Tribolium castaneum: one gene and its partners. The protein of the gene in region 1 purifies or fractionates together with the protein of each later gene. This does not show direct contact. Links are inferred from orthologs where the notes say so. Each region holds a gene or a part of one and is shown on either strand. Other genes may lie near its edges.

Region 1 (4,100 bases):
AGTGCACATTTTAGAGATAGACAAACTGTGGAAGGCCAAAGATTGGTTACGAGGCGAAAACAAGAGTTAGAGTTGCTGGAAAAACGTATTTTCCAAGTTGTGAAAGTCGCAAGAGTTGAGGAAATAATTGAGGAGGAAAATGAAACAATGCTCACAACTTTATCACCACCGGAGGAAGTTTTAACTCGGGCTTTCGAGGTTTTGAAGAAAGCGACAGGGGCCACTAACACCTCGGAGGTTTTACACAAATTTAACATGCAAAAAGACACCTTAGAACGGCTTATTTTGCTACGGAAAAAATCAGAAAGCGAGAAGAAACAACTCGAGAAGAATTTGGACGATTTAAACACGCAATTGGAGTTTTTCAAGTACGCTGAAGTGAAGGAAACTGAACGCAAGTCGCTTAAAATGGAACAAATGCTAAGCCAAATCGACGAAATCAAAAACATATCACTCAAAACCAACAATTTGAAACTGGTGAAGGATAAGACGATTCAGACGATTCTCCGATCTGTTCAAGAGTTACAAGCTTGCATTAACCCGATTTCGGTGCCAGAAAGCAACGTTTTGGGCACTTTGAAGTGCATTAAGTCCGATTTGGCCAAAATTATCCGCATTGAAAACGAAGAAAACGTAGCTTTTTTAACACATTTTTTACCATTCCTTGTAATAAATTAATTTATTAGGTCGTTAAACTTGAAGATATTGAAGAAAAGTGGTTGCCGGGACCGTACAGTGGCCTAGTACGTAGAACTCCAATTCCCCAGCCCGGGACTTCCCCGGCTCCTCCTCCACCTCCCACGGGATCTGAAGACGAGGAGGAGGTCCCGTCCAGGACTTACTTGAAACGTCAAGCCCAATTAGTCGTCGATGCGAAGTCACGGCGCAAAAATATTCGAATTCCCGCAAAAAAATAAAGGAAGTAAAATTTTTTGTGTAATAAATTTGCAAATAACTATGTGAAAATTTTCCGCTGAAAATAACAGTTAGACGCAATTACGACATAAACTGGGCACAATAAACAATAAAAATTCACGCAGCGCGAAATTTGAATTTTTTGTTTGGCGCGATTGGTTATTGGTACAAAAAACCATGGTTACCGACTATCATTCCTTAACAACCAGATTGTTTTGGTGAAAACCCGCGTGAAACGTGTGTCAAGAGCGAAACCAGAAACTATCTAATCGTGGTCATATCGCAGTTTTGATTTTTCTTTCGTTCGGTAAACGAGATAAATCTGAATCAGTCTGAATATTGAATCCGTCATTGGTTGGGGGAAGAACCACCGACATTCCAACATGTTGCTGTGAAAAGTAGTACCGAAGAAATTTTCTCACGCGCTTATCTCCCGTCTTTGGCACTTTCGCGCAATAGGTTGCACACGAATCGTTTCAGTTTGTGAAAAACTGTCCTCGGTGTGTTTTTTCCGCTGGCTTTTGGCCATTTTCCGGTGAGTTTGCCGAGATAAATCGGCGTAGGAATACAAGAATCATCCGGTGGCCATCTTGGCGCGTCTCAAACAAAGCCCCCTCTCAGAACGGAGTGTGCTGTGGTCGGTTGTGTATTGTGCGTATTTCAAGCGCTGAAAAAACGCAAATTTTCAATGAAAAACACTGAAAAAGTGGCCGAAAGCACGCGGAGAATGTGTCTAACGTAGTGGTGCGTGTGTGGAGTGTGTGCCCCATGAGGGAATTTACACGAAAATGTGGATTACTAACTGGAAGGATTATGATTTACGGATTATAGTGTCTTCCGCGGTTTTACTGGCCCTAGCGAATGTAGCAACAGGTGAGGACCACTCGTAACAGCCCCAAAACAGGACTTTCACATAGATTAAGACGGCTGTGAAGTCAAAATTTTTGACGTTTTGAGCGAGAGCAAAATGGCGCCGCCGGATGAATTTTATCCCAATTATTGCATTGCTGGACCATAATTAGGCAAATATAAAGCACACTTCCGGCATGAAATGTAAACAAAACGCCAGGTTCTCAAGTACCACTTGATACTCGCGTAAACAAGTTAAGTGACGGAAAATCGTAATTAGGGGATATCCTGAGAAATTTTACGAAATGTGCACATTGCCAGTTATGCAAAATAACCAGAAATCCGTTGGTGCACAATTTGAATCCTTGTTAAGCCGTTGGTTGCTATGGTTTTTAATGTCAAAATGTGAATCGTTGCTATGGTTCTAATGTCAAAATATTGTATCGTTGCCATGGTTTTTATTCTCAAAAATTGCAGCAAAATTAAATAAAGATGTGTAGATAATGAAGTGCTGGGATTATGTGCACTGTTAAGTGTAACAAACCTGTTGTATTTCCGCGCTGTTGTGTGTGAAAAGCGCGCGGTATAATTTTTTACTTTAACTACTTCTGGATTTTCAAGCTGAAACTTACGCCAAACGATTCCTCTGAGTGCCCTGATGACCGTACACTATGAATTTTCTTGTGCAAATTGAAAATAACATTACAAAAATAATTTTTATTTTCACTCATTTCACTTGAATCGCCATTTTTGTTGATTTTAAGGGATACAACGTTCGCCACCAGGGTGTGCATGCGTTGCGTGTGCTTATTTCTGATTGGTTGTTATTGTTTAGCTTCAACAGGTAAGAATCGCACCTGCGTGTTTGTTATGATTATAACACCTTCGGGTATTCCCAGAATGAATTTAAATGACGTATTATACCTTTTTCATTAAAAAGTAGGTGTATTTTTTCATATTTTGCAATTTGAATTTATGTCTCTGTGCTCTGATTGGCTGATTGACGGAAGTGGGGATGCATTCCCGCATTTCCCTTCATGCAACAACACAACCAACAACACCACTCCATTACTATTTTACTTACTAGTGGTGAACAAGGTATTTTTTTGTGAGTGCTACGTTCTTGAGGTTAATTTACCAATCGTGGTGTATATTTCCTTTTAGTTAGCTGGGGCGCAGCCCCAGCCTCCTGCCACGAACTGTACGGCACCCTAGCTCCATAAAAAACACTATTCCACGTGTCGAGTTCCACGTTTTCGAGTTTAATTGGTCGTGGGGTATGTTTCCTTTTAGTTAACTGGGGCGAAGCCCCAGCCACGCGCAGCATAGTTCCATAAAAACCACTATTCCACGTTTCGAGTTCAACATTTTCGAGTTTAATCGTCCGTGGGGTATGTTTATTTTTAGGTCGCTGGGGCGAAGCCCCAGCCTGCTGGGGCGAAGCCCCAGCCTGCGGGCTATCATCTGTAGGCGCCTTGCCTCATTTATAGTTATATTTACGGCTAATATCATTTATTAGAGTGTTAATAAAATTTAAAAAGTCTAGGTCAAGGTCATTCAAAGTAGAATTTTTCGAAAACGGGGCATTTGCACAAACTTTCATGGTCATATCTTTGATCTAGAGGCTTTTTAAAGCAAAATGCAAAAAAAAAATTTTCAAAAATCCAGAAGTAGCTAAAGTAAAAATTTACCAAGCGCGCAAATGTGCTAAAGATTTCAACGTTGGATGAGAAACCGAGCCAAAAATTTAATTAGTTGTGTGGCGAAAAATCTTACGTCATTTGACGGAACCGATAAATATTTTATTAATTAGTTTAGTTCTCAAGAATAATCAAGAGTTGCATGAAACCAGTTATTTAGTTCACGCAATCTGCATCTAGTGAGTGTGTTTTCGTATTCCCAGCTCACTGCGTTCACTTTGTTCTTTTTCTCTAGGGAATTTGAATTTTAATCATCGTAAAAATTATACCGAGGGAACAAATAAATATTGCGACTTGAACCCGCGCCCGTTTTAGACGAGACCACCTGTCATGACCGTTACAGAACTTTTATACATAGGGGGGTTTAAAGTACGTCGGGTGTGACGTCACGACACAGCTGTATATGCTCATACACACATGTAAAAGGACGCTTAAAGATTAGATATTTACACAAACTTTGAAAAAAAAAATAAAGAAATTGTGCAATATTACGAAAATTGGGCCAGAAAGGACCAACATAACATTGTTACCAAGCAACAGTCACATACCGTTACCATGGAAATGGTTATTTTATCGGTAAAATTTGAGTGTTAGCTCAGAAACGTGAAAATTCGAAAAATTTTCGACTTAATTTGG
Region 2 (3,652 bases), on another chromosome or scaffold:
AAAATGAGCTTTATAGTTTGCTGTCAATTTTGTATCACCGTACTGTACAAACTTCTTATGGAATAGTATATTATTATACGAGTTTTATGAGACGTTCTATTGTGGTACGAATGGAGCACAACGAAGGAGTGCTTCAATAGAATAAGTGCCACAATTAAGTGTTATAAAACGAGTGTTTTTATACTTTCTATTTTTGTTGTTTGTTTGTTTAGTTTAACTTATCAAAACCTGTTTAAACTATTTCCTGTTAATTTTGTTAATTATTCGGGCTTTATCAATAAACGACTTGACGCTGTTGACAGATCATACACTAAATTACAGTGATGGCTAAATTTACTAAAAGGAGTTGCACAAAAGTTCTATTATGACAAAAATAGTAGAAAATTAAAATCGAGTGATTTTGTATTTCATATCGTCTCTTTCGTGGATAAAAATGGTTCAAGTTTTCGAACCCACGAACCGCCACTGCTTTCGTCGTGAATATAATAAATATTAATTACCGTTACACTGCTTTCCGCTCCTTCCGGGCGAGCAAATGCAATCAAAATCGTCGATTCTATCCAAGCAAGTGCCTCCGTATCCGCAGGGGTTGGAGGCGCAGTCGTTGACGTTGATCTTGCAGTCCGGTCCTGTGAATCCAGGGGCGCACTCGCAGAGGAACCAGTTGACGCCGTCGATGCACTTGCCGCCGTTCTGGCACGGCTGGGGGATGCAGTCGTTGACGTCGTCCTCGCAGTGCACGCCCTCGAAGCCGTCCCTGCAGATGCACTGGTAGTAGTCGCCGGTGTTGACGCAGGTGCCGCCGTTGAGGCAGGGGTTGGAGCGGCACGCCGTCTGTTTGGCGATGTGACAAGTGGTGCCTTCCCAGTCGGGAGGGCATCGGCACATGAACGTCTTGCCCAAATCCTGGCAAGTGCCGCCGTTCTTGCACGTGGTGTGGTCGCAGTGGCTGTCTTTGAGAGAGCACGTTTTGCCCTTCCAGCCGTTCTTGCAGTTGCACTCGAAGTCGGCGATTCGGTCCACGCAACTGCCGTTGTTACGGCAAGGGTTCGGGCTGCAGTCGTCCGTGTCTGCAAAGGCAAAGAATATTATACAACTTTCTGACTCAATGAATTGTTCTCAAAATTGTAAACACAAATTCTGTTCGAGCATTTCAGAAATACAACTTTAATATTGTGAGCTTACTGCAAAAAGTGGCCAAAGTCACAAATGAAACTTTTTCACAAATTTATTCTACAGCGTGCTCAAAAACTGGCGCACCAACTCAATGGTGTGTGGTAGAGAACTGAAACTAAAGAAGTTAACACAATAAGTTTGTAGCTCCAGATTTTTTAAAATATGACTTTAGGAATTTTTTCAACATTTTTCCCGTAATCTGCACTTGCTTCTCAATAACGTACCACTGAGTTGGTGGACCAGTTTTTGAGCACCTGTATAAATGGTTATTTATATTTTGCGTTTATAATACGTTTATTAACATCTTTCAACAGGAATCGTTTATGTCTCATTAAAGTACAGTGTACTTTAATGAATTTGGGGATATTTATTATTTATTATTATTATATTTATTATTATTTAGATTTAATCATCATTTCTTCTTCATTTATTATTATTGTCGTTACCAACTGACACAAAAATCCCTAGAAGACAAAAAAATAATTAATCAAAATAAAAAAGGGGGCCCAAAGTTTAAAAATTAGAAAAAAAGACTCGTTTTATAAGGGTTTTGGCGCACTCATCCCACAGAAAACTTGCCTATGCCTCTTTTCTCGTGCGCAACCCTTATAAAACTTGTTCTTTAATACAGGGTGCTCAAAAACTGGCGCACCAATTCAGTGGTACGTTGTTGAGAAGCATGTGTAGATCACGGGAAAAATCTTGAAAAAATTCCTAAAGTCATATTTTAAAAAATCTGGAGCCACAAACTTATTTTGTTAACTTCTTCAGTTTTCATTATTTTTTAATATTTTTATGTTTCACACTAAGTAATCGTTCGCTAACACAACGATGAATAATTATTTTTAAATTTCCTATCAGACTTTAGCAGTTTTTTGTATTTAAAAAAATTAAAATTCATCAAAAAAATCACAGTTTGTAGATGTGCCAACACTGGGAATTATTTCCTAGGCAACCATTTCAAAAATAATTTATTTTTATTCGGAAATAAAATTACCGTTGGGGGCGCCACTGAGCTAGGTCGAAAACAGTAACCATAAATGGCGGGAAAATGTTTATTCGGATATTTTGAGCGTTGTACGAATTTTGGGGCTTCACAATTATTACAGTGCCTATGCGGAATGATTATTGCATCTTTGATGCAAGAAACTTATGTTGACAAATGAGAGATGACGAGGAAAACACGAATAACGAATGACTGTTTGGTTCACTTTCTTTATTGGAAAATTATTACAAAAACATTGAAAAGCCTACCTTTTGGCATAATTTACGTTTAAATGTATCAGCAGTTGTTAATCTTTATTGTAGTTTTGTAGATTTACCGCAGCATTTCATGATTTTTCCAGAGGAAAATTTTAACCTAAAATTCATAACATTTCACTAATTTATTGGTTTCATGAGCCAAACTTTGTGTTCGCTGTGATCCATTACTTATAATCTTTAATTAGACAACTGTTTGATAACACTTTGTAATCAAAATTTAAATATTTTTCACTTTTTATCCACTTTCAAGTTCCAACAATAAACACTTTATACCACGAAAAACTACAGAACCAAAGTCAACGCTAGTATTTACCACCACGTACTTTTAAAGTAATTCTTTCTATTGTAAGTAATTAACACTACACACGCAAAATTGTTGAACAATTCATTAAATGTCAGTTAAATGTGGCATTACGAAAATTTCTTTACTGTTTTCGACATAGTTTAAAAGTCATCACCAGAGGGCGTCTAGTTAATTTTATTTCCGAATTGTTGATCACATTCAATTGTGATCTCTACTGTTAGACAACGTTGCCACATATCGTTTATTTAAAATCCGTTATTTAACAATAACTTTAATACAAAGAATTTTTTAACTATTTTTACCTTTATATGTAACCAATTCTCTTCCACACTCCATTGAGTTGGTGCGCCAGTTTTTGAGCACCCGGTATACTACTATGAAGTCAGTGATGTTTTTCTTTAAATAACTTTTGGTGGGCAATTACGTAAGACACCACACTTTTTAATGAAGTTATAGAAATCCACGTATGTTTTGTAGTTATACAAGAAAATGTGATCGTAATAACGTAAAACTTCAATTTTTTGACTCATCTCTTACCATTAATTAAGTACAGCTTTGAATGATTGATTTTTGTTAGTTTGTGTCTCAAAAAATGTGTTAAAATGCTTGGAATTAGCTTAAATAACGTAATTCAAACCTAAAACCACTTTATGTTTTATTTATAGCAAAATTTATCAAATAAAGTAAATAACGATCTCCAGCTATTTATTTTTAGGTTGTTTCTGGTAGAAAAATCAACAAAACTTCTAAACTAATACATTTGCTATTTTAGCAAAATATCTTGAATTTAGTTAGTTACCACAAAAACCGGTTAATTCGCTTAAAACTTGAATCGGCGGAAAATTAATACTTCTGAACAGAAATAAGTAAAAACCGAGATACGAACAAAAACTTAAATACAGACCTAGT
Region 3 (4,082 bases), on another chromosome or scaffold:
TTGCAAGCGATAATCATCTTCCTTCAAGAAGAATGGTTCAAACCACGTTCTTACAGTGTTTGTCTGAGCCTTTGTTTCAAATTCTTCAGGTTTTTTCGTAGTTTCCGCATTTTTGGGTTCTTCCGGTTCATCGTCTGACGAATCGTAATGGAAGGGATTGTCATTCAGGAAAGCGTTATTCCGTATTTTATTGTTGGTTTGTGTTTCATAATTTTCGATCGAGTTATTTAGTTCGTCTTTTTCTTCCTGTCCGAACAATTTTAATAGGCTAAATTCTTGTTTCTCTTCAAGTGTACTTTTTAAACCATCTTCTACTTTATAAAAAATCTCTTTTGAAACAACTGGCTGCTCTTGCTCTTGAATATTGGAATCTTCTTTCTGTGCATCTTTCAGTTTTTTCTTTTTCTTGGTTTTTGGAGCAGACTCATCTTGAGTTACACTCACATGGAATTTCACATGATCTGACTGTGAGGGATCATACCGCACCATTCGCTTTTTCTTTGACCTAAACAATTAAACCCTTGTATAAAAAAATAACTAACACCGACACTTACCCATCCTCTTGCACCTTAACATCTTTCGTCTTTATTTTGGTTCCCAAAACTTGCTCTAAAATATTCAACTCGTGTTTCTTCTCGTCTTCAAGCGAGCACTCGCCATTTACGACATTTTCCTCTTCGTCATTAGCATCAGCAAACCGTTCGTCCAACGCAAACCTTTTATCACCCTTGTATTTCGTCTGTAGCTCAAAAAGCTGCAACAAAACATGAGCAAAGCAATACCACATTTTAATTATTTTACTTGGTGCCCTTTCTTGCCACTAAACTGAGGCTTTAATTCAAACCTCAAATCGTCTTCAGCTTCGTCGTCACTTTCGAAAAGCGACTTTTGAGGCTCATGGTGCGAACTCGCACCGTTAAGCTGAGAGGAGTCGTCCAGATTTTCGCGAAAAATAATTTTTTTGTTGGGCTTTCCATCCTTAAAAGCGTGTTTTATTTAAATACAATCGAGCACAAAAAACTTACGACGTTGGTGAGAGCATCTTTTATAATCAACTTTTGCTTATCAAGGGTTTTAACCATTTCGTCAAAATTATAAAATAACGAGGTTATAACGGTAAGGTTATGTTAAAACCAGGTTATGTCAAGTCGGTTACAAAACTAATTTCCCTAACTTGATTTAAATTTTTTCTTTCGAAAAGGTTTTTTCCAAAAAATTTTCAAAAATTGCAATTCAATTGCATTAGAATTGCACGAGTAAATGGATGGTTTTGGACTAAAGACGAGAAAATGCGGGGAAATTGCAGTAATTGCACAAACAACTGTTATGGAAGAGATGAAACCATGATGGTATGACGTTACTGTGATGGATGCCGCTTTTATGGTACATTTATCTCCATGACGGTGGTTTCTTGTGATTTCGGAAAATTTGCGCCCCAAGTTGGAAGGAACCATTATCCAAATGGTTGAAATACCATCAGAGGGTAGTTTTTCTTTTTTTTTTAACTATTATGGCAAAAATCAGGTGTTGGGTTATTTTCTGGTAAATCGTAGAAATAGAGCTAGAGCTTGTAAACTTTTTCAAAATCAATAAAATGTGATTACACCACGCCGAACTGAGCATGTGCAAGCTTCAACCCCAAACTTGCTACACCCCTAAATAGGGTTGATCAATGGATTCAATGATCAATATAAGAATTAATTCAGTGCACACAAAATGAACCACTTTCAGCTAACCGCTCTGTAAATACCCAATTTCCATTATTATGGGAAGTGTAAAGTCAATTTATAATGTGATAAAATGTGATGGTTTGGTCCCGGATGGTTAACAGTGTTTTAAAACCCACCTCTGACTAACCATGCAAACATTACGCAAAAAAACAAGTCCCCTGAAATGTGAGTATCCTTTCGAACGGTTTCCCCGTCTTGCACTCGCTCACTTCTCCCCTTATCAGCGTATTTCCTCTCAGATAAGAACGAGACCACCCGATTCCTGGGCGATGGTGTGAGTTTTAAGGCCAAACTGATCGGGATTTTGGAAGTGTCCGAAGCCAGAGGGGACCGCATGTGCCAGGAGGCCCTGTCTGACCTGAAAATGGCCATCAGAGCGGCAGGGGAGCACAAGCAGCGCATCACAATCAACATTGCAATTGACGGCTTGCGACTAAGGGACGAAAAAACAGGGGTGCGTACCACCACCAGCTTTAACCCCCTAATAGTGGCTTTCAGGACTCCCTCTACCACCACCCGGTCCACAAAATCTCCTTCATCGCTCAGGACATGACCGACTCAAGGGCCTTTGGCTACATTTTCGGCTCCCCGGACACCGGCCACCGGTTTTTCGGCATCAAAACGGACAAAGCCGCCAGCCAAGTAAGTCAAGTGGGCAACACAGAGCCCTAACAGACTCGGAAAGTAACCACTCACAACTTTATACTTAATTCAAGTCACAAAAATAACAGTATGGACAACTATAGTGGCGGTCAGCTCGATTTGCGTGTGCGTCATCAATTTCATTTTTTCATTACCAACACAAAGCTATAAAAAATTATCAAAAACAATGCAAATTTAAACAGCTAAGGGCTACCTAAGGGTGGTATCCTTGAACATTAATTTACATGTGCACTTCGACAACACCGTCAAGTGTCACGAATTTGTCAACCTGACATTGACAGTAAATTATAGACGTCATCGCATGGTTGTCGAAAGTGTTATCGGTGTTAATCGCAAGTATTTTCTGTTCGTTTATTGTGTTTTGTGATTTGCGTTTCGTTAGGTTTTTGATTCTGCGTTTATTAGTTCTTGTTTTGTGAATCTGTATTTTTTGTAACAACTCATAATTTAAACACTTTGTAACCTCAAAAAGTATTTGATAGTTTGTCACCGCTATGCCCCTGCTATGTAAACTTAGTGACAGAAATGTCAGTTGACGCACACGCAAACGGAGCTGAGCGCTACCATATCAATGAAACTCCTGGTAAAAAATGAGCAATAAACTCGTTAACAAACTACTTATAGTCAAAAAAGTAAAAAAGTTACTACTAGAATACTATATATAATTTTCAATATGTGTAGAGTTACCTGAGTAATTACTTTTATTACTGTTATAAAATTGTGACGTTTGTTGATGTTGCCAACTTAATTTCAAAATCATGGCCTATTGGATGGTGGTACAAGTGCCCCTTTTAGGTGGTTATAGCCATGAGGGACTTGTTCCAAGTGGTTTTCGCCCTCAAGAAGAAGGAAATTGAGTTGGCCAAGCAACATTTGGACAAGAGTCGGTTCACAAGCTCGCCCCTCTTCTCAGATTCTGTCTCAGCATCAAAGGTACAGTTCACCGATTTGCCAATTTTGTTAAATGGGGGTTTGTAGCCTGTGAGCCAGGAAATCGCCAAAAGCGCGGCCAATGACAGTAAGGCGTCGAATTCCGAGGGTAAAACGAGCGGGACAGCGGTGGCCGACTTGGTGGACTTGGAGTTGGAGCTGAACAGCCTTCAGCAGGGCCTCAACCAGATGGAAAGGATCACTCCGTCTGATCCGTTCGGCTCGAAGGATGACCCGTTTGGTGATAGTTTTACGAGTTATACTGTAAGGCAATGTTTAAGGTCTGGATTATTTGGTATAATTTTTGTATAATTTAGAAGCCGATTTTGCCACCGCCTCCGTCTTCTGGAAGGGAGAGGTCGAGTCGAAGTTCGGATTCCAGCAGTGTTTTTAGTCCGCGGACACCGCACACTGCAACCAGTTTGGACGCAAGTTGTGATAATAGTTTAATTAAGTCGAGAGATGAAAAAATTAAAAAAGACGCTTTTCCGCATCATGACGATGATTGGTTCACTCAGTCCACGAAAAGCATATTCAAAGAACCTCCCCTAGTGCCTGAACCCACCAAAGATGAAAAACACGAAATGACCAAGCAGGAGATTTTGTCACAATTTGATGTTTTCACAGAGTTAGATCCACTTGGTAAGGTTTTATTTTACGCAACAATATTTTTTTTCTTTTTGTTAGTCGTAATTTTAGTTGGTTTTCATGTCAAGTTAAACACACCATATCACATGTCCGAAAAAAGTACGCTGTGAG

What was found.
Region 2: the proteins of N (region 1) and Ser purify together in Drosophila melanogaster (affinity purification with western blotting; 5 studies listed by BioGRID). This does not show direct contact. The link is inferred for Tribolium castaneum from reciprocal best matches to the Drosophila melanogaster genes N and Ser.
Region 3: the proteins of N (region 1) and Dab purify together in Drosophila melanogaster (affinity purification with western blotting; 4 studies listed by BioGRID). This does not show direct contact. The link is inferred for Tribolium castaneum from reciprocal best matches to the Drosophila melanogaster genes N and Dab.

What each region holds. Positions count from the first base shown.
Region 1 is NC_087400.1:125,198-129,297, reverse strand, and holds the start of N (notch), read left to right. Parts: upstream 1-1,151; 5' UTR 1,152-1,703; coding exon 1,704-1,788; intron 1,789-4,100. Other genes in the region: CCDC151 (myosin heavy chain, clone 203), read left to right, coding at 1-633, 687-917. UniProt on the Drosophila melanogaster protein: Essential signaling protein which has a major role in many developmental processes. Functions as a receptor for membrane-bound ligands Delta and Serrate to regulate cell-fate determination.
Region 2 is NC_087396.1:10,169,755-10,173,406, reverse strand, and holds part of Ser (protein jagged-1b), read right to left. Parts: intron 1,071-3,652; coding exon 501-1,070; intron 1-500.
Region 3 is NC_087396.1:23,476,389-23,480,470, forward strand, and holds the start of Dab (protein disabled), read left to right. Parts: upstream 1-1,280; 5' UTR 1,281-1,461; coding exon of another isoform or gene 1,462-1,483; 5' UTR 1,484-1,858; coding exon 1,859-1,895; intron 1,896-1,954; coding exon 1,955-2,184; intron 2,185-2,228; coding exon 2,229-2,372; intron 2,373-3,188; coding exon 3,189-3,326; intron 3,327-3,371; coding exon 3,372-3,587; intron 3,588-3,640; coding exon 3,641-3,965; intron 3,966-4,082. Other genes in the region: probable RNA-binding protein CG14230, read right to left, coding at 1-505, 555-754, 802-978, 1,026-1,082. UniProt on the Drosophila melanogaster protein: Together with Abl, involved in embryonic neural development. May have a role in eye development. Acts as an adapter protein for SH2-domain containing proteins during sevenless (sev) signaling.